Linked DNA regions of Arabidopsis thaliana. The protein of the gene in region 1 binds, or shares a complex with, the protein of each later gene. Each region holds a gene or a part of one and is shown in the gene's direction. Other genes may lie near its edges.

The links. The genes of interacting proteins can lie anywhere in the genome.
Region 2: AT2G10440 (region 1) and MED21 share a complex: the UniProt entries of both Arabidopsis thaliana proteins name them as parts of the mediator complex.
Region 3: AT2G10440 (region 1) and MED9 share a complex: the UniProt entries of both Arabidopsis thaliana proteins name them as parts of the mediator complex.

The regions. Positions count from the first base shown.
Region 1 is NC_003071.7:4,012,128-4,020,350, reverse strand, and holds AT2G10440 (mediator of RNA polymerase II transcription subunit), read left to right. Parts: upstream 1-2,304; coding exon 2,305-2,426; intron 2,427-2,763; coding exon of another isoform or gene 2,764-2,790; intron 2,791-2,925; coding exon 2,926-3,028; intron 3,029-3,114; coding exon of another isoform or gene 3,115-3,181; intron 3,182-3,278; coding exon of another isoform or gene 3,279-3,337; coding exon 3,338-3,450; intron 3,451-3,540; coding exon 3,541-3,665; intron 3,666-3,708; coding exon 3,709-4,101; intron 4,102-4,143; coding exon 4,144-4,238; intron 4,239-4,330; coding exon 4,331-4,405; intron 4,406-4,529; coding exon 4,530-5,501; intron 5,502-5,588; coding exon 5,589-5,903; intron 5,904-5,980; coding exon 5,981-6,145; intron 6,146-6,187; coding exon 6,188-6,306; intron 6,307-6,388; coding exon 6,389-6,599; downstream 6,600-8,223. Other genes in the region: AT2G10450 (14-3-3 family protein), read right to left, coding at 1-46. UniProt on the Arabidopsis thaliana protein: Component of the Mediator complex, a coactivator involved in the regulated transcription of nearly all RNA polymerase II-dependent genes.
Region 2 is NC_003075.7:2,429,183-2,434,695, forward strand, and holds MED21 (mediator 21), read left to right. Parts: upstream 1-3,069; 5' UTR 3,070-3,180; intron 3,181-3,462; 5' UTR 3,463-3,482; coding exon 3,483-3,773; intron 3,774-3,857; coding exon 3,858-3,909; intron 3,910-4,138; coding exon 4,139-4,215; 3' UTR 4,216-4,453; downstream 4,454-5,513. Other genes in the region: ABCI8 (ATP binding cassette protein 1), read right to left, coding at 1-603; AT4G04775 (zinc ion binding protein), read left to right, coding at 1,938-2,102, 2,173-2,490. UniProt on the Arabidopsis thaliana protein: Component of the Mediator complex, a coactivator involved in the regulated transcription of nearly all RNA polymerase II-dependent genes.
Region 3 is NC_003070.9:20,551,845-20,557,402, reverse strand, and holds MED9 (mediator of RNA polymerase II transcription subunit-like protein), read left to right. Parts: upstream 1-3,148; 5' UTR 3,149-3,228; coding exon 3,229-3,702; intron 3,703-3,771; coding exon 3,772-3,834; intron 3,835-3,919; coding exon 3,920-4,000; coding exon of another isoform or gene 4,001-4,079; coding exon 4,080-4,138; intron 4,139-4,224; coding exon 4,225-4,282; 3' UTR 4,283-4,498; downstream 4,499-5,558. Other genes in the region: AT1G55090 (carbon-nitrogen hydrolase family protein), read right to left, coding at 1-48, 134-310, 426-564, 669-804, 905-1,073, 1,148-1,282, 1,379-1,482, 1,581-1,804 and 2 more; AT1G55070 (F-box and associated interaction domains-containing protein), read right to left, coding at 4,770-5,558. UniProt on the Arabidopsis thaliana protein: Component of the Mediator complex, a coactivator involved in the regulated transcription of nearly all RNA polymerase II-dependent genes.

The DNA.
Region 1 (8,223 bases):
CCGGTTGCAGGCCGTAAACAATCCTAGTGGCAAAGTAACAACACATGGTTATGGGATCTCAGAAGCTTCTTTGATTCTCATAGCACCAATCACAAGGAGAGTCAAACCAACGACTCTTGTACCCCAAGTCCTTATAACTTCAGTGTGAAGCCTATTTCAATTTCAAGGTATAGAGCAGTGGATAATCTCAAGGTAAACTACACAGAAAAAACTACAATTCACATAGATAGTTCGAACAATTACTACAAACTTGATATTTACGATGTTTCAACAATTACTTGATCATGAAACCATAGACTACTAGTAATGAATCCAATGGTTCTTGAAACAACTGAAACCTATAAACATTGATGCTTCTTCAAAAACCACCAATCCAGTAACTTAAACCAAAAATAGTCGCAAACATCGATATAAACAATACACTGACGCTAATCCAGAAGATTCATAGTCGTGAATTACCTTAATACTCTGATTCAATCTTCGAGATGTATCCGGCGATGGATTCTGGCGGAAGAAGCATGAAAGGGAGCTGTCTCGGCGTGACTGGAGACGGCGAAAGGAGGTAAAGCTAAGACCCAATTTCTCATTAAGCCCATCTTCATTAAAAACAAGACCTAAACGTGAGAAGTGTGTACGTATGTATATAATGTCTTCTTCCTCTCGCCGCTTATGTTACGAGCACGCAATGTTAACCTTATCAAAATCATAGAAATTTGATCTCAACTCTCAAGTCACCATCATCCTCCACTATCGAGTTCACCATCGTTGTAGTTTGTGGTTGTGGTCCCGATCGTGTTAAGTGGTGACGTGAAGTTATCGTCACGTAACATCCAACCCTAATCATCACCATCTGAGCCACTATTAGCCTTCTTCGTCCTCCTTCTTCACCGGAATCTAGATCTATCATTGGTGCTTTGTTTGGGTCTGTGATACCGAATCCTCTACTTCTTCGTTGCAGAGTGAGATAACGGTGAAACCTTATTCTCGTATTCATGTTAAGGTGTTGTGTTGTTTAATTATTGAACCAACCTAAACCAAGGGATTACGTATAGTTACGGCCATGAATTGAAACTTGATTATTAAGGAACCTTTTGAGTTGATCGGTTATGGCGTCAGTTGGGTTGTGTTAGTGAAGAAGACGATATAGTCAGTTATTGGCTTATTAGAAAGCGTTGGGTTAATTGTCAAACCAGAAGTAGCATTGACATGTACGTGATTTGAATTGTGGCGTTGGTTTAATTATTAAACCGGGGAGTATTTGGTCACGTAAATGGATGTGGCGTAGTCAATTACGTGTTAAGCAACTAATATTAAATTATTAGACTTGGTTTAGTTATTAGATTAAATAACAAATTATTAAGGGAATATAATCTTGATTGATTAATCTAAATTGTTGTAGTTTGAGATCGTTGTTGAGCCGGATCCATTGTTGCTAGTCCTATTTCTTAAAATCCAACCGAGTTGCCAAGGTGAGGGTAGGATCTGTGGAAACATAGTATCACCTTTACTTTTGTATTTCTGAATTTCATTTGTATAAGATTAGACATTGGGTGCTGATTGTTAAAATGTTAGGATTATATATTAAATATTGTTGATTCAGTAATCAAACAATGAATTTGTACTAAGGGATTTAGACAAATTCACTCCTCTCTTAGCTCACAAATAATCAAAGGAAAAGAACTAGGTTGCTTAAACAAAAAGCTAGGGTTTGCTCTGTAATAGTAGTCTCTTGTATTAGGTTAAAGATGATCTCAATGGGGGGTTTGACCCCTCTATTTATACAATAGGTCGAATATACCAAAATATGATAAACTTCTAATTATCTTAGGTTTAAATCTTCATTACTTCTATTCTTCATGAGATCCTCTTCTCTTAAATGGAAGTTTTCCCTTTACACGACCTAAGAAGTTGGTTATGGCGATCTTGATTGTCGACTTAAGTCTTCGGGCGATCTCATGACTTAGGCCCATTAACAGGCTAACCGGGATACCCCGGTTCAATCGAATTCTCGATTTTATTCACATTATTCCTCGGTTTAAATTAGTATTGTCGGAGGTGCTAATTCCTGCACCAACAAATATTATAATACGTGTTGTGTGATATTATGCGATAGGTTGTTAGCGTGATATGCATATTGATTTTTGAATACTCTTTTGTCGTTTTCTTGTACTATATATTTATCTGTTTTGTGTTACCATGTTGAGTAATTTCTCTAATCATTCTTTTGTTTGTTTGTTAAGGTTTAGCGAGGCGGTTCTTGGTCAAAGCCTATACATACATCTCCCCGTTAGGACGCATAACTTAATGGAGGGAAATACTAACTGGAAGCCTAATGAACAAGGCGGAAACCGTGATGCTGCGAATAATCGTATTGATTGGAGATCACAACATGAGCCTGAATTACGGCAAAAGGTTCTTTCAAAAATGTAAGCCATTCTTTCAAGAGTTTCATGTTTCTTTTGTTGGACTCATTGTTCTTATTTGATTATTAACATTCATGAAAGAGAGTAAGGTTTTCTTGGTCATGCTTTCGATGTGATATTTGTAGTTTGCGCATGATAAAGATTGCAACAGTTAAAGCATAAGAGTTGTGCATAAATGTTTATCATAGTTGACAAAACCTAACTTCAACCTTTTGTACTTTAAGTTTTGCATATTCTTTTAACCTCATTACCTGCATTTAGGCTCTTCCTCACTAGGAGAATCTTGTTTTACTCTCGCTTCTATGTACAATTGCTTGGCACATATGTATAATTGTTTCAGTGTTTGTTCGCTAAACGATTATCGTAAGTTCGAATATTAACTACGGATTATTTTCTCTGTTTTGTATTTTTAGTGCAATTAAAATGGTATCACTTCCTCTTGAATATCAGTTATAACCAAATTCTTCATAGTCACTGATATTTTGTTCTCATGTATGTGTAGAGTTGAAAAGTTCAAGGAAAAGTTTCATGCACATGAAGAATATAAGATTAACGACATCGCTTCCAAATTTGAAGAAAATTTTTATAGCATAGCAACCGATAAGGTGTTAAACTACAAATTGTTTCTCCATCTATTAACTTCAGAATCTGAATTTGATATCTTACTCATTGTCCCCTTGCTATGTTTCAGAATGATTACCTTAGGAAACTCAGTGAAACACTGCATTATATACAGAGAACTTACACTAGAGTTCTAGGTAATAAGTTTTTGGTTTCATAATTATACTATTTTAGCTTAATAACAAAGAAATCACTAACTAACTTTTTTTTTCTATGTGTTTATCTAAACATCAGCTTCTCAAGTAGTTGTGAATCAAGCTCAATCTCTTCCCGCCTTGTTGCCATATATGCAGACTACAACGAGCCAACAATGGTTACAGCAAAACACACAGAGCAATCTCTGTGTCATCTGCTTTGCCAAGTCAGGTCCCTATAACCGTTCCCGGTTCTCAAAGACAGATACATGGTAGGCAACAACTTCTTCCTCAGCAGCAACAGCCTCAAATGAATCAAATCCGCCATGGTAATTTACGACCTTCGCACATGCAACAACAAGCTCGGTCACCGCAGCCGCAACATCATCCGCAAAGTTTGTTGAAACAACCTATTCAACAGCCTTTTCCTCAATCAAGCTAACAAAACACTCAATCACTGACCAGAAATCAGTTTTCGATACAACGGGTCAGTTTTAGTCATCAACAACAGATGGTTCTGCCGTCTCAAGAACAGAAACGACAAGAACAAGAGCAACTCATTAATCAACTGACGAATCTTCCAACATCACGACCAAACAATAGAGACCAACAAGGAGCTTTTCAGGTATCCTCGTCTCAGCAGAACAATAATGTTACCTTACATGCAATGTCTCAACAGAAGAATAACCTCCAAAGTATGACTAGAGGTCAACAAGTAGGACAATCTCAACCAATGATGTCACAACAATACCGACAACAATACCCCATGCAGCAGGATCCTCAGAACAGAAACTTACAGAAACATTTGGATTTTGTACAAAACAATACCAATCAATTTCAAGCAGCAAGTTCGTTGCGCCAAACACAAAACATAACAGATCAACAGAACCAGCCACAACAATTAGAGAGAGCAAATCCATCTAGTATGTTTCCTCTCTTACTAACTCTTGTGATAATGTTTTTAGTTCTAATAATGAATATCATTGTAGCATCTCAAGATTCTACGGGAAAGACGGTAAATGTCAATGCCGGAAACTGGCAGGAGGAGACCTATCAGAAGGTATCTTCACTTGCTTTGCTCTTCACTTCTTAACATCACAATTAGGGTTTGATTTTGTTTTCAATTGATTCCCATTCTGATATGTCCTGCAGATAAAAAAACTGAAAGAGATGTGTTTACCTGTTCTCAGTTTAATGCACCAAAGAGTTGCGGAAAAATTGCGGGAGGTACTTTATTTTATAACCTAATTGTTTTGCTTGTGGAACAAGAATTTGTTCTAATGGTTTTCTTAATCATTTTTTTTTCTAAAACTTTGTGTTGTTTTTGGTTTAATAAACCTAATGTTTCCAGACTGAATCTCTTCCGCCGCAACCGATGCAAGCTCAGTGGATTGAAAAGCTAAAGGCGGGAAAATTGTCAATGGAACACCTTATGTTTTTCTTAAATGTTCATAGGAGCAGTGTATCAGAGAAACATAGAGACAAGTTTAGTCAATATGAGTACCACATATTGAAATTTACCAAGAGTCAGACCATGGTTTTGAGGCCAACGCAGCAACAACAAGGACAATTTCCTCCTTCTCAAACAGCAATGCAAACCCAAAGTCCTCAAGTCCATGTGTCACAGTCTCTTTATAAGGAGCAAAGGAGATCACGGTTGATGCCAAGTAGCCAAAATGAGGCCTCGTCTTTGTTGCAAATAAGGCCTAAGTTGGATCCAAGAGACGAGAACATCATTATGGCTTCCTCAGGAAATGTCATGTTACCTTCTGTTAAACAAAATCCTCGGGCCGTAAACACAAATATCAGTTCGGTTCAGTCGTTGCAGAAGCAGAAGCGATTCCATCACCGACAAATGCAACAACAACAACCACAACAAGGGAATCATCAACATCAAATGCAGACAAATGAGATGAATGATGTGAGGATGAGGGAGAGGGTCAACATTAAAGCCAGGTTGCTTGAGCAACAAGTCTCATCGAGTCAGCGCCAGGTTCCAAAGCAAGAGTCTAACGTTTCATCCTCTCAGATACAGAACCACTCTTCTCCTCAGTTAGTTGACCAGCATATTCTTCCTGCGACGATTAACAAAACCGGAACCCCATTGAACTCTAGTGGTTCGGCTTTTGTTGCTCCAGCTCCATCTCCAGTTCCTGGAGATTCTGAAATGCCTATATCTGTTGAGTCTCCAGTTTCTGGTGTTGATGAAATAAACTCAACTTTAGATTCTTCTAGTAAACTTGGCACACAAGAAACTCCTCTGTTATTTGTTCCTCCGCCCGAGCCAATCACAGAGCGGCCTATTGATCGACTTATAAAAGCGGTAAGTAAACTCTATAGCTTATCTAAGTTTACTTTCTTTACCTTCTCCTATTTACTGACCTAATTTTTAATGTGTGTGGCTTTCTAGTTTCAAGCAGCATCACCAAAATCATTGGCAGAATCTGTAAGTGAGATTAGCTCGGTGATTAGTATGGTTGACATGATTGGAGGATCGTTCCCTTCTAGTGGAGGATCTAGAGCTGGTTTAGGCGAGGATTTGAGTGAGAGGACAAGAAACTTTACCACACACGAAGAAACAAATCTGTCTAAGAGAATGAAGCGATCAATCAACATTGTGCCGCCAGATATGTCATCACAAATTGATAGTTATGAACAGTTGAGTAGCCTTGAATCTGAAGTTGTTTCCACAACATCATCTGGCTTGAAAGTTAACAATATTGCGGTAAAATCTACTCTATTGGTATCGAACTACGAAAACAAATGAAACATCGAAATAAATCCATTTTTTCAATCTTGTAGCCTGGTTATGCCCTTTTGCAAGAAATCAAAGAAACAAATGGGAGACTTGTAGAGACAGTGGTAGAGATATGTGATGAAGATTCTTTAGGAACAATCGTCACTTGTACTTATGCTCCTGTGGCTCTCAGTGCCACATTCAAAGATCATTACAAGTCTGGAAAAATTGTAAGTTACTTCAAACTTCTTCTTTTTCCTCACTCTGCTCAGATTTTTTATGTCTCTAAATGTTTGATGCAGGCACAGATTCAACCTTTACGCTTACTATTTCCTATGGATTATCCGTATAGTTCTCCGATAGTTCTCGAGGAAATCTCCTTTGACACTAGGTATGAATCTTTCTTAGAAATCAAGTAACAACGATTGGAGTAAATATATATGATCTTAAGGATTTATATCTGCATGTTTCAGTGTACACAAGTATGAGGATCTATCCGCGAGAACCAGATCAAGGTTCAGTTTGTCCATGAAGGAATTTTCAGAACCAGGGTTTTCGAAAGGAATAGCTCAAACGTGGAATGATTGTGCGAGAGCGACAATGGTTGAGTACGCAGAGAGACATGGTGGAGGCACTTTCAGCTCCAAGTATGGTGCTTGGGAAACGGTTCTAAGAGCTTCATGAGGACTAATACTTCCTTTCTCACTCACCGTACAAGATAGTTTTTAGGTGGGAAGCCTTATAGCCCAAGTTAGGTTTTTTTTTATTTCCTTTGAGATAGAAGTAACATTTATTTGTATGGTGTGGCTCATGTCTTCTTATTGTATATATTTTAACAAGAAATTATAATTGTTTCAAAACCGATAGTATAATAAATTATCTTGAAATATTTAGGCACAAAGCCTTTTTTTTAAAAAAGATTTTAAAGTATTTTATTGTTTTTTCTTATTACATGTTTCATTTATAGAGCCCAAAAGGTTGGAATATAAGTTTTAAAAAAGGATTACAGAAAATGAAGCCAAGCCTATAAAACTAAATCATCCTTAGTAATTTAAACATCCACTCATAAAGATTTTGCTGATGAAACGTGTTGATGAAGTGTTTTGCCCTATGACACGGGCCGAGACGTCAAGCACCGCTGTTGAATTCGCGGGAAACCGCTAGAATTCACCAAAATGTTGAGAATCGTCTTTCCTTCTGTCGATCTCGAACCCATGTCCAAAAATCGTCGATATTCTTTCGGATCAAGTGATGGAAGTCGCTTAAAAATTCTTCAAGTATCATTATCGTCGGGGAAGCTCCACCTCTGACGACACCCATATTGATGTGGCCGGATCTTTGTTCATGTGTGTGCATAAAGAAGTGGTATAGATATTACTCGTCGAACTAATTGGTGGGAACATAGAGGATTTGTGAAGAAACCAAAGACATCAACAATCACCAATAGATGGAGATCTAAACTCGCAAGGCAAGAGAGAACTTGATAAAAGTGGTATCAAAAGTCTTGTCCGAAATCAAAATTATTGATATCGTCGAAGCAAAATTTATAAACCTAATTAAACAGAAAAAAAAAAAAACTGAAATTAATATCCGATTTGGATTAGAGCATGATCGTTTCTAAAGAAACGAGAAGGGTAAGAGAAAAAAAAAAGAAAAAAAAAAAAAGCTCTCGAAAGTATCCTATTGATTTACATGACATGATAAGAGATTTATAAAGCAAAATAAAAAGCTATAGCCTCAAAATTGAAACAATCATGCTGTAGATTCCTATTTTTTTTTCTCGCATCCCAAATAATAGCACAACTTTATAGTCTTTAGAAGGTCTGTACATTTTTTCTCTTTTTCTAAAAAAAGTTTTATATCTATTTCTCCATGAATCAAAAGATCTCTATCTAAACTCCCTGAATTGATACTTCAACATTTATTAACCCATATTTTTGGGTTTATTCGGTTAACTATACTGTTAACCATTTATAACCAGAGAAAACCATACATCAACGAAAGAAGAAAACAAAAATACTCTAGCGAGATTTCTCTCTTAGGCACTCTTCCCGAGTGACCCCAAAGCAGTAAAGAGTTTTTGAAAAACCAGATCTCACCCACTTTTACTTCCTATACAAGGCAATTTTACAACTCCGGTGACCTTTCTTTGCTCTTTCTCGCCGAGGAAACTTCTCTTACCATGCCACCAGGCATGGGCGGTTGGACTATCAACTCAACATGACTCCAGAGGACTCAAACCTCACTTCGGCCCTCCCGCTAGAGCATGTTTCTCAACCTTGAAGCTCTGGAAGAAGACTCCAACAAC
Region 2 (5,513 bases), on another chromosome or scaffold:
GACATTAGCCAAACGTTTCTGCTCTGTTAAAGGAACACCTAACTTATCGAAATACTCAAGAAGCTGAGGATCAACTTCATCTAAACTATTCAAAGTTGGTTTCTTTTTAGGAGCAGAGTAATAACACATATCCTGGAAATTAATCGAAGGATATCTATTATCTGACCATTTAGGTTCTTCTAGTTTCAGAAACTTAGCATAAGCTTTGAACCTAAACTCAAGCATCCAATCTGGTTCCTCTTTCAATTTCGAAATCAAACGAATCGTCTCTTCAGATAAACCTTTAGGGATTGTGAAGGAATCGATATCTTCAACGAATCCGTACTTCTTATCGTAATCGAGATTTTGGAAATACTGTTGAAGTTTATCAGTTGAGCTAACGGTTGATGTACCTGATGATGATGATTCAGAAGCTCCGATGGGACGAGAATCGATTCCAACATCGGCTCTGAGTTTGAAGATCGGTCTCGTTGGATTTAGGGATTTGGGAGATGGGAATTTTAAGGATTCGGGTTTTGGGTGAAACCCTTTTGGTGATTTTGAGGAATCGGAAGTGGGTTGTGGAGAGAAGCTGGAGATACCGTTTGCGAGAAGAGACGCCATTGTTGTTGGTGTGGCTCTTAGGAGAAGTAAAAGAAGATTGTTTTTTTTTTTTTTTTTGGAGTCGTGTGTTAGAAAAAAAACAACGATTAGGAAAAAAATGAAGAAGAGATGAAATGTTAATATTTATGGAATTTTCTGAGCCGTAGATTGAAGATAGTCTCGTGTCAGCCACGAGACGATTTTTTTGTTGGATTTTCACTTTTCAGCTCAATTATAAACCACATACGTTTTCCACTAACTAATTATAAAAAAAAAATAACGTTGATCTCTTCTTTATTTGTTAAAAATCTCTTTTAGATATTAGATATTTTTTATACTTGGACAAAACAAACAAAGATATTAGATATTTTATAATCCGATTTACGGGTTGGTTTCTTGTTTTTGTTAATGAAAAAAAAAATTAGTTTGATCTTTTATTTCAAAAACTTAATAATATTTTATTTTAAAATTTGTTGGTTCATTCATTTCAGTTTAGTTTGGTACACTGAAATCAGTTTTAATTCTTTTTTTTTCTCATCTGAATTATATTAGAAACTAAAGTAGAATACAAGTTGAAATACATAAGCCAACAGACCAACGGAATATTTTGAGAAACTTAGCTGAAAAAAAGGAAGTAAAACCAAAAACATATATAAGGAAACATTTTAAACCAACGAAATTGAATCAAGAGACAAAATTCAAAAGAAAATAAAAAACTATGGGAAAAATAAGACCTAAACTTCTCCTAAAAAATGTGAACGCCGGAAACACCAATAAGATCGGATAGATTTTACACCGAAGTCAAAACTAATAGTAAATCGACAGAGAGGAAAGCAAGAAGCCGCTGAAACCAGAGACATAAGTACAAACACCATCACACCTCACCCACCAGACCGAGATAGCAAAATGTACTAGGGACAAGGCATAAACCTTGAAGATCTACTAGAGATAATTAAAGCACTAGACACAATCAGTATCGATTCTACTTGGGTTAGCTGATTTTCGAGCCATAAACTATTTCGATTCTCAGCTTTCACCCCCGGACTTTTGGGCCCTTAAATTTCCACCATCAACTTTCATATTCCCAAAATTACATCATCTACTTTCGGATTCATGCTTAAACATACATTTCCAATTGAACCATTCATTTAACCGGGATTAACCACAAATCCGCGTTTACTGTACCGCGATTGCGATTAACCCGACTAATACCCAGACCCGTTAAGAAAACGACGTCGTTTTCATTTCGTTTAACTCATCAAAAAGAGAAAGAAAACGACGTCGTTTTCATTCTTCTTCTTCTGCAAAATCGATTTGGTCGATTAGGGTTCTTCATTCGACAATTTTATAAGAAAATGAGCACCAACAGCTACTACTCATCCGCTTCCAGTTCAGGATTTCGTGTCTGTCCTCCTGGTGTCCCCTCGAAATGTTGGTGTGGAGAAGAGATCATTACATTCACATCGAAAACAAAGGAGAATCCATACCGGAGATTCTACCGTTGTGCGATAGCAATGAAGGTACACATTTCGATTTTGTGATATATTTGATTGATTGAAGGAGTAAATGATTGGAAATTATGTTTTATAGAGAGAAAATGAAGAGCACTTGTTCAAATGGGTTGATGAAGCTCTCTTGGACGAAATTAAGATGGTAAATGAGAAGTGTAAGAGAGTTGTAGAGAATATTAGTGACCTCAGAATGAACGTGATGGCTAATATGGAGCTCCTTAATAAAAACGCTAAGCAGATGGAGGAAGAGCTGATTAAGAAGATGGAGGGTGAACTCTTGACCATGAAGGAGAATGTGGAAGAGCTAGGACATGTTATGGCAAAGTCAGCTTTGAAGACTGTAGGGGTTGCTGTTGTGATTGTTGCATCTATTGTATGGCTTTGGGGAAGAGTGTAGGTGTTGTTGAGGTTTTGGAGTGAAATTGTAGTATTGGATTAGTCTCTGTTATAAAATTGTCGAATGAAGAACCCTAATCGACCAAATCGATTTTGCAGAAGAAGAAGAATGAAAACGACGTCGTTTTCTTTCTCTTTTTGATGAGTTAAACGAAATGAAAACGACGTCGTTTTCTTAACGGGTCTGGGTATTAGTCAGGTTAATCGCAATCGCGGTACAGTAAACGCAGATTTGTGGTTAATCCCGGTTAAATGAATGGTTCAATTGGAAATGTATGTTTAAGCATGAATTCGAAAGTAGATGATGTAATTTTGAGGAATATGAAAGTTGATGGTGAAAATTTAAGGGCCCAAAAGTCCGGGGGTGAAAGCTGAGAATCGAAATAGTTTATGGCTCAAAAATCAGCCACCCAATTCTACTTCAGTGTTTTTTTTTTTAATTAGTTGTCAATTAATTAAAGCAGTAGGTTTAAAGAAACAACAGAAATCGTTCCTTACGAATTCTATGGAATTAGGGCCCAAAAATCCAAAGGAAAGGCCACCTTAAAAGCCCATTTTAAAAATCTTCGAGCCCAAACCCAAAACGCAGAACGAAGTTTATTAAGAACAACAAAACGCCCCAATTCGCAGCGATTATCTGTCGTTGCCACACCCAACAGACTCTGCGTCGCCGGAGAAATCTTGTCGACGGGTAAGTCTCTTCGTTAAAGCTTATGCTTCGTTAAATCGATTAGGTCAATTTTTTCCCTGAGGATTCGCCATTTTGATCCTCTCTGAAATCCAACTGGTTTTAAGTGATTTATGCTTTGGCACTAGTTTTGTTGAGAATCTTGTTTGATAAATTCAGGAATTGACCACCAATTTTGTGCCATTTGAATCTCCTAGATCCTCTCTGAACGTTATATCTTGCTTTTGAGTATATGTTAAAAGTCTAATATGTGATTGATTACTGTAAATTTTATACTTGTTCAAGGTCTTTTAAGGTTTTGGAAGATGGATATAATCTCACAGTTGCAAGAACAAGTGAATACGATTGCTGCTATCACTTTCAATGCTTTTGGGACACTGCAAAGGGATGCACCACCAGTCCAGCTTTCACCTAATTATCCTGAACCACCCGCTACAACTACGGTTACTGATGATGCTACGCCTTTTCCTGAGCAACCTAAGCAGCTCAGTGCTGGCTTAGTTAAGGCTGCTAAACAGTTTGATGCTTTGGTTGCTGCACTTCCTTTGTCAGAAGGTGGTGAAGGTGCTCAGCTCAAAAGAATCGCTGAACTCCAGGTCAAACAAGTCACACCGATATGTCGAGTTCTTGAATCCGATTACTTCTATTTGTCTAACCGCTTTGTCCTGTTTTTTCTTCAGGTGGAAAATGATCTTGTTGGTCAAGAACTCCAAAAGCAACTAGAGGCTGCAGGTAAAAAACGATCTTAGGTTTTCACTTCATTGTTGGTGTGTCTTATCTGTCTGTAACTGGAGCAGATTCATTATGCACTTCAAATTTCAATTTGTATACTTTCTTGTTGATACACGCACTATGGTTAGATGTTATCTTTAGTGGTTCTAGAATTTGGAATTTTTGTTTTCCCTTGCAACTGCCTCTGACGATTGAGCTGATGTTAATGGTGTGACCTTGTTTGTGACAGAGAAGGAGCTAAAGCAAGTACAAGAGCTGTTTGGACAAGCTGCTGACAATTGCCTGAACATGAAGAAACCTGAATGAAATGCTTGTTTACCTTTTGTCGAGCTGATTTAGAAACTATATGATTTGGTTCAGCAACAATTATCTTTTAGGTTCATAAGGAATATCTATTCTAAGTTGGTTCACCAAAAAATTGTTGTAGAAGCAATTACAAGAATGTTAGTTAGCTCACAACAACAGAACCATTATTTTAACCTTACACTTTTTTGACCTGTCTGATTACAATCTCAGAGAATCCACTTTATCATTTTCACAATTACAGGCCATGATTGACACATCATGTTTGATTCTCCGGGCAGTGTTGGTCAAATTACTATGATGGTCAAATTACTATGAACTCTGGTATCTGTCACATTCAATCCAAGTTGCTGAAAAGAAATGACCAGTCCATAAGTTGTGGTCCAAAACCGGATCTTGATTGTGTATTTGTACTCAAGCATGTGAAGATATCCTAACTCATCATCCTTCTTGCGCTCTCTCACAAGACTTGTATAGAGTCCAACAATCTTTTGTCTGCGTGATGAAGCTTTAGGATGAAAAGAAAACTTTAGCCAGTCCGATCAATATTATAAATTAACAATTGTATAAATTTACCAATATATATATTTATATAAATATTATATGTAAAATATTTAGTGAAATATGACTCTACTATTGTTTTTCTTTAATTTTTATTAATTTTTTGTAAAGTTCAATTCTAATACTTTTACTATGTGAAAAAAAAAAATTGTATTTTTTTTTTAAACTTAATAATTGTTTTCTACTTATAATCGGATTAAGAAAGATTATTGATTATAAAGAAAAGATCACTTTTAAAATTAAATTTTTGTAAGAAATTATAAAATTTGTAAAATCTCTTTATAAATTGATAATTATTAATTTATCCATAAATTAATTAATTTTCTCGGTCCCAAACAATATTAACTTATAGATGTTTTACGGTAGTTTGTTGATGAAACACTCATATTCTTTTTAGGTTTCTTCTTGTTGGGTGCTTGAGAAAATGCAGACCGACTTTCTTCGATGATATGTTGTACATCTTTATCATCTATTGGAATTTTTTATATCAATGCCTTGGCACCTTCTGAATCCCCTGCAGCTAGTAGAACCTGATACATCCTGCCAAACCATAAACAAGAACCAATGATATACCGAAAACCTCTTGATCTTTTGGAAACTGATGATCTAGTTATCAGAATTGACTGCATCCTCTTGAAACTAATCGAACCCGTAAATCGAAACCCACAGGACATTGTTGAAGAGGAAGACGTTGAGGCAAAGGTGGCTGTAGCAGAGGGTGCTGTAGCAAAGGTGGCAGA
Region 3 (5,558 bases), on another chromosome or scaffold:
TTTACTGATACTTCCTATAGGATTTATGTCTGCTGAGCTGCAATCATACTGTTTCAACCAAGAGAATGAACAATATTTTTTAACCATCTATGAAATTTGAGATGTAGCAGCCAAAAAGTGATTACTCCATTACCTTTGTCAGGTAACCACGAAGTCCTTCATCAACGTTGGAGCTGCCTAGAACAAGGTAAAAGCCTGGTTTGCTATGAACCCAAGGCAAGAGAGACGCTAACATAAATGCTAACACCATTCTCATCCGGGCTTGAATGTTCTGCAACCCAAGGTTCTCAGCATTTGATCCTCCATCAACCTAATAAACAAAACCAACAACCATTTTCACAATTTTAGTTCTTCTTCTCTTCTCCAGATGATCATATTTCATTTTTTCTAACAGTTTGCCTAGGTAATGTATATTCAGACTTTACCTTATACCTTGGTCGCTTGCCTGTAACTGTTTGAAATAATGATAAAACTGCAGAGACAACACCATCTATGCAAACATCAAGATGCCAAGCACCAATCTCGTCTGCCAGCTGCTTTGAACGCCTTTTTGTCTCCTCAGAACTGCAAATTTAAGATTTCAATATGGGGAAAAAAGTTTCATCTCTGCTGTAAATCCACACAGTGACGAAAAATCATATTCTCTTTGCTCTTATTAACTAATTCACCTGTTTTCAGAACCCATAAAGACAGTGTAAAATATTCGTTTGGCAAACTCTTTGCTATCAGTAGGAAACTGCCCATTAGCATAATTCCCAATTCGGTTCGCATCAGCTTTTACTTGCTCATCTCCCTTTGCAATCTCTAAACAAGAAAGAAAATATACTCTGAGAGAACTCAATATCATGAAATTTCAACAAGACAAAACACAGTTCAACATACATAGAAAAAAGCGCCAGTGTACCTTTAACAACAAGTTGGCACATGCAGCCAACAATAGCTGCCACGGAGGAGCTGTCTGCTCCGCCAGAAAGAGGAAGCAAAAATCCTGAAGCGCCACTTCTTCTCAAATAGTCCCACATCCAGCAAGCGGGACCAAAGGCTATTTCTTCTTGTGGAGAGTGGTAAATGATCTACATTACTAATGTATATTAGAGTGGAAAATTTTAGATGTTAACTTAACATCAAATACTCAAGGATGGAGAACCTTCTTCGGACTGCTTAGTGTCATTTTCAGGTTGAAGGACTGTGTAAGTCTACAGGGCACAGCTACTGAAGATACTTTAACCTTGCAGCTTGCTTGTTCCTGAAAGCTACTTATAGATCCACGAAGGCTAGCAACCTTTCTCAAGACAAATAAGCAAGATGATCCTAAGAACTTTTCATTTATATATCACAAAACAGAAGAAAGTAAAGCCAAAGGGTAACTGTGGGATACCGCATCAAGATCCACTTGTGAAATGATGACCTCAACGTCTCTCAACGAGAATTGTGAGCCTTGAGCAACAACATTCCCGTTTACAACAATACATGCACATCCATCTGCACTTGGTTACAAATGAACAAATCTCACTCAAAAAAGTAGATATGATTTACTCAAAAATGATACTTTCAATAATTTTAAGGGTTGTCAAACATACCGTAGTATAAGCGGCTACCATCGCATCCTTGTTGATTACTGTACATATACACCCCACCACGAGCATGAGTAGCCCCCATAAAAGCATTCAGACGAATATCTAGTTTCCTAAGTTGGTGATGACTCCCACTTGCATTCATAAATACTTCAACACCATTCAATGCGAGCTCGGCATGAGGAGGAAGTGGACTAAACAGTTCCTCACAGACTTCAGCTGCAACAGCCCTGATAAGGAAATATAACTGATACAGTTAAGCAGACAAAATCATTGACAGTGTTGAAATGGAAGCATTTATCCAAACTCACGTGTCGATAAACTGGATGTAACCATAACCAAAAGGGACTGATTTCTGCTCCAAAGCCTCTGAAATTTCAATGGGGAGCTGAAATTCCTCTAGCTCTTCTCTCTGCTTCCAAGCTGTGAACCACCGTAGCTCCCTATAGTTTCCATCGTTTGCGAGCCACATTTTCGGTCGAATCATGATGATTCTTCTGTTCATACAGAGAACCTGGCAGTTATAACGCTCTGCTCCTTTAATCACAGGCATTCCTATGCTGCACAAAATATCATCCGTCCAATCACCAAGCAGCAATTCCTTCAAACACTCCCACCTGAAAGAAGATATTCACATGAACATAAGAAGAAACGGTTAAACATGATTCCGATAACTAAATTCAGAAGAAAAAGAAATTAATTCCATCATCTAAAGTGATAGTACCAAGTCATTCATGCCATTCATCATCGAAATAGAAAACTAAAAATAGAAGCTTACGCATGAGTGACAGTGTCGAGTTCCAAGAAGTGATCCTCGCAACCATAGCCAGTGACCTCGAGCTCGGGTCCAAGCCTGATAACAGCACCAGCAGCCTTTGCCTCAGCGATCGAAGCCTTGATGTTCTTCATGTTGCTCTCGAAATCCATGGCCCATTGGTTCAAGTTACACGTAGCAACCTTCAACAGCCTCATCTTCGTCGCCTAAAGAGAAAGACAAGTAAATTTACTGTACATCAAGTAGTGTAAAAAATCTGACTTATCTAAGGCACAAACTTGTTCATGAGAACAGAAGCTGGTTAAATTAGTTAAAGGAACAAACTTTGTATTACTTTGCTAATACTAACAATTCAAATTCAATTTTAACAGCCATAATACACAATATCTGTAACGAAGAACTCGTCAACGCAACACTATTCGATGTGAATCAATTGCCAAAAGAAGAGAAGGAAGAATTGGAGCTTACGTGAATGTGCAAAGAAACCAAGTATCAAAGTCGTGAAATTCGGAGATCGTGAAAATTGAAAACTATGGGAGTTTGTATTTCTTTCAGATGTGAAATTCACAGACTCCAAGTGATTGTGCAGTGCTCGTGCAGAACAGATTGTGACCGACCAAGAAGAACATTCGGTTTGAGAGGAAGAAGAAGAAGAAGAGATTGATACTGAAACGACGGCGTTTTACGATTGTAAATTACAAACAAAACCTTAACTGAGAACAACTTCGTTTTATCATGACACGACATCATTTTTTTTTTTTTTTGGTCAAAACACGACATCGTTTAAGTTCCCACTTTTGTCTCTTCTTCGTTCTTTTAAGTTTTAATAGACGACGACGGCGACGAGAAGGAGAATTAGCGAGATCGGAAGGAGAAAAAATGGATCAATTCTCAGGAGGAGGAGGTAATTGGTCGATGATCCCAAACGTGCAGGCGCAAGGTAACTTCGGTACACCGACGAATCATGACCAGCAACTATTCCTCCAGCAACAACAATTACAACAACAACAACAACAACAACAACAACAACAGTTTCATCTTCAACAACAACAACAGACGCAGCAGCAACAACAACAATTCCAGCCACAACAACAACAAGAGATGCAACAATATCAGCAATTCCAACAACAGCAACACTTCATCCAACAACAGCAATTCCAACAACAACAACGGTTGTTACAATCTCCTCCTCTTCAGCCACAGTCGTTACAATCACCTCCGCCGCAACAGACGATGGTTCACACGCCTCAATCTATGATGCATACACCGCAGCAACAACAACAGTTGGTTCAAACTCCGGTGCAGACTCCTCAACAGCATCAGTCTTTAGCTTCTCATTTCCATCTCTATCCGGTAAGAGAAACAAAGAAAATTGATGAAATTGGAATCGTTGGGGGTTCTAATTTCGTGTTAATGACGCAGATGGTGGAGAAATTAGCTGATGTGATCGAAAATGGAACACGAGATCAGAATTCTGACGCCCTGGTTTGTTAAAAATCAAGTCTTTTAAAGTGGTTTTGAGATTTCTAGGGTTTCTTATTGGATGATGTTGAAATTGTGGGATTTGCAGGTGAATGAATTGAATAGCCATTTCGACAAGTGTCAACAGTTGCTGAATTCGATTTCAGGATCACTAGGATCTAAAACTATGGTAACATTTTGGATCTCTGTATTGGTTCTGTTTAATCTTTTGTTTCTTATGGATCTCTCTCTCTCTCTGTGTTTTATAGACTGTTGATGGCCAAAAGAGAAATGTTGAAGAAAGTGAGCAATTGCTTCAACAGAGAAGGTTAGCTAGATTGTTAGTATCATGTTTTATCTGATCAGATTGTGATCGTGCTCTTACTCTTTTGTTGTTAAATGTCTTCTGGTCAGGGATTTGATTGTGGAGTATAGGAAATCTATTGAAGAGATTGTGACAATGGAGCATTAGTTTCTCATATTTTGATTCAGCAACTGTTTAGCTACTTAAGACCAATAATTGTTATCAATAAACCAATCTTGATTCACATAATAAAGAGAATGTGGTTTTCTTCAAGAAAATTCATTCTTCGGATTACAAATAGATCACAATGCATAATGTGTTTTGTCTGCATCAAACCAAACCAAAATCTTTGTATGTGGGACATGCAACAGAAAGCTCAACCCAAAAACGATATAAGCCCAGGTAGTTGTTGAACATAGTGAGTGGTTTTGTGATTTAGATTCAGAACAGAGTAGAAAAAGCATTGTAGCGACCATGGAAAATTCAACCATTATTCCACAATGATCCTCCAAATATAAAACAAAACACCATTGAAGCCACATCTATTAGTCTTTTAAAAAGAAATAAAAACACCGACTTCTAATCTATCCCTACTCACTATTTTGAAATCATGATAATAGTCTTAAACAGGTAAAAAAAAAACCCAATAAAACACTCACGTAAGCTTCATATTCTCTAGATAGTTTGGAACAGCATGAAACAAAACCCGTTTAGAACCTTGAGATTCTGGAACTTCAACTCTTACTCTTACCACAATGTTCTCCTCGAGATTGTAGTAATAAAGGTAAAAAGGAACTTGTGGATCATAGTGATTTGGGCAGAATACAGCTTCACCTTTACTAGTAACTAAAAAGTTTACATCAATTCCATTGAACTCCGGCCATTGAAGGGGCTTTACGTAGATATGCTTTGACCATTTACGTTCCTGGCCATGCTCTAAAACCCACAACACCAAATCGTTATCATTACTATTTATTGAACCTAATTTACCCTTGTAGTTTATCAGAGAGGGAGGTTTCCAAGTAATAAAACCAAATTTCTCAGACCTAACGTCAAAGCAAACGATCATAGGTCCCAACATAGGTTTCATAGAGGTTGCTGCATAATACAAAACACCTTTGATGCATATCCCCTTATGATAACGGTGGGTATAATAATGTCTGCGACATTGGATCTTCCTCCAAAATAGATTTCTCCTTCCAGTCTCGAATGTGAGAACTTGATGCTGACTATCAAACTCCTCCCCTGTTCCATGATGCACCGAGGTTACACACAATACCTTGAACCGTTTGTTGATTGGATCATACCCGATGGCGAAATAGTTTATTGTCGCATGTGCTTCCAATATGGGTAAGGTTACGTACTGCCCTGTGATGGGATTATAAATCACAAAAACTGTGTCATTTTTTATCTTACGGTGATAACAGACCAGTCCGTGGACAGA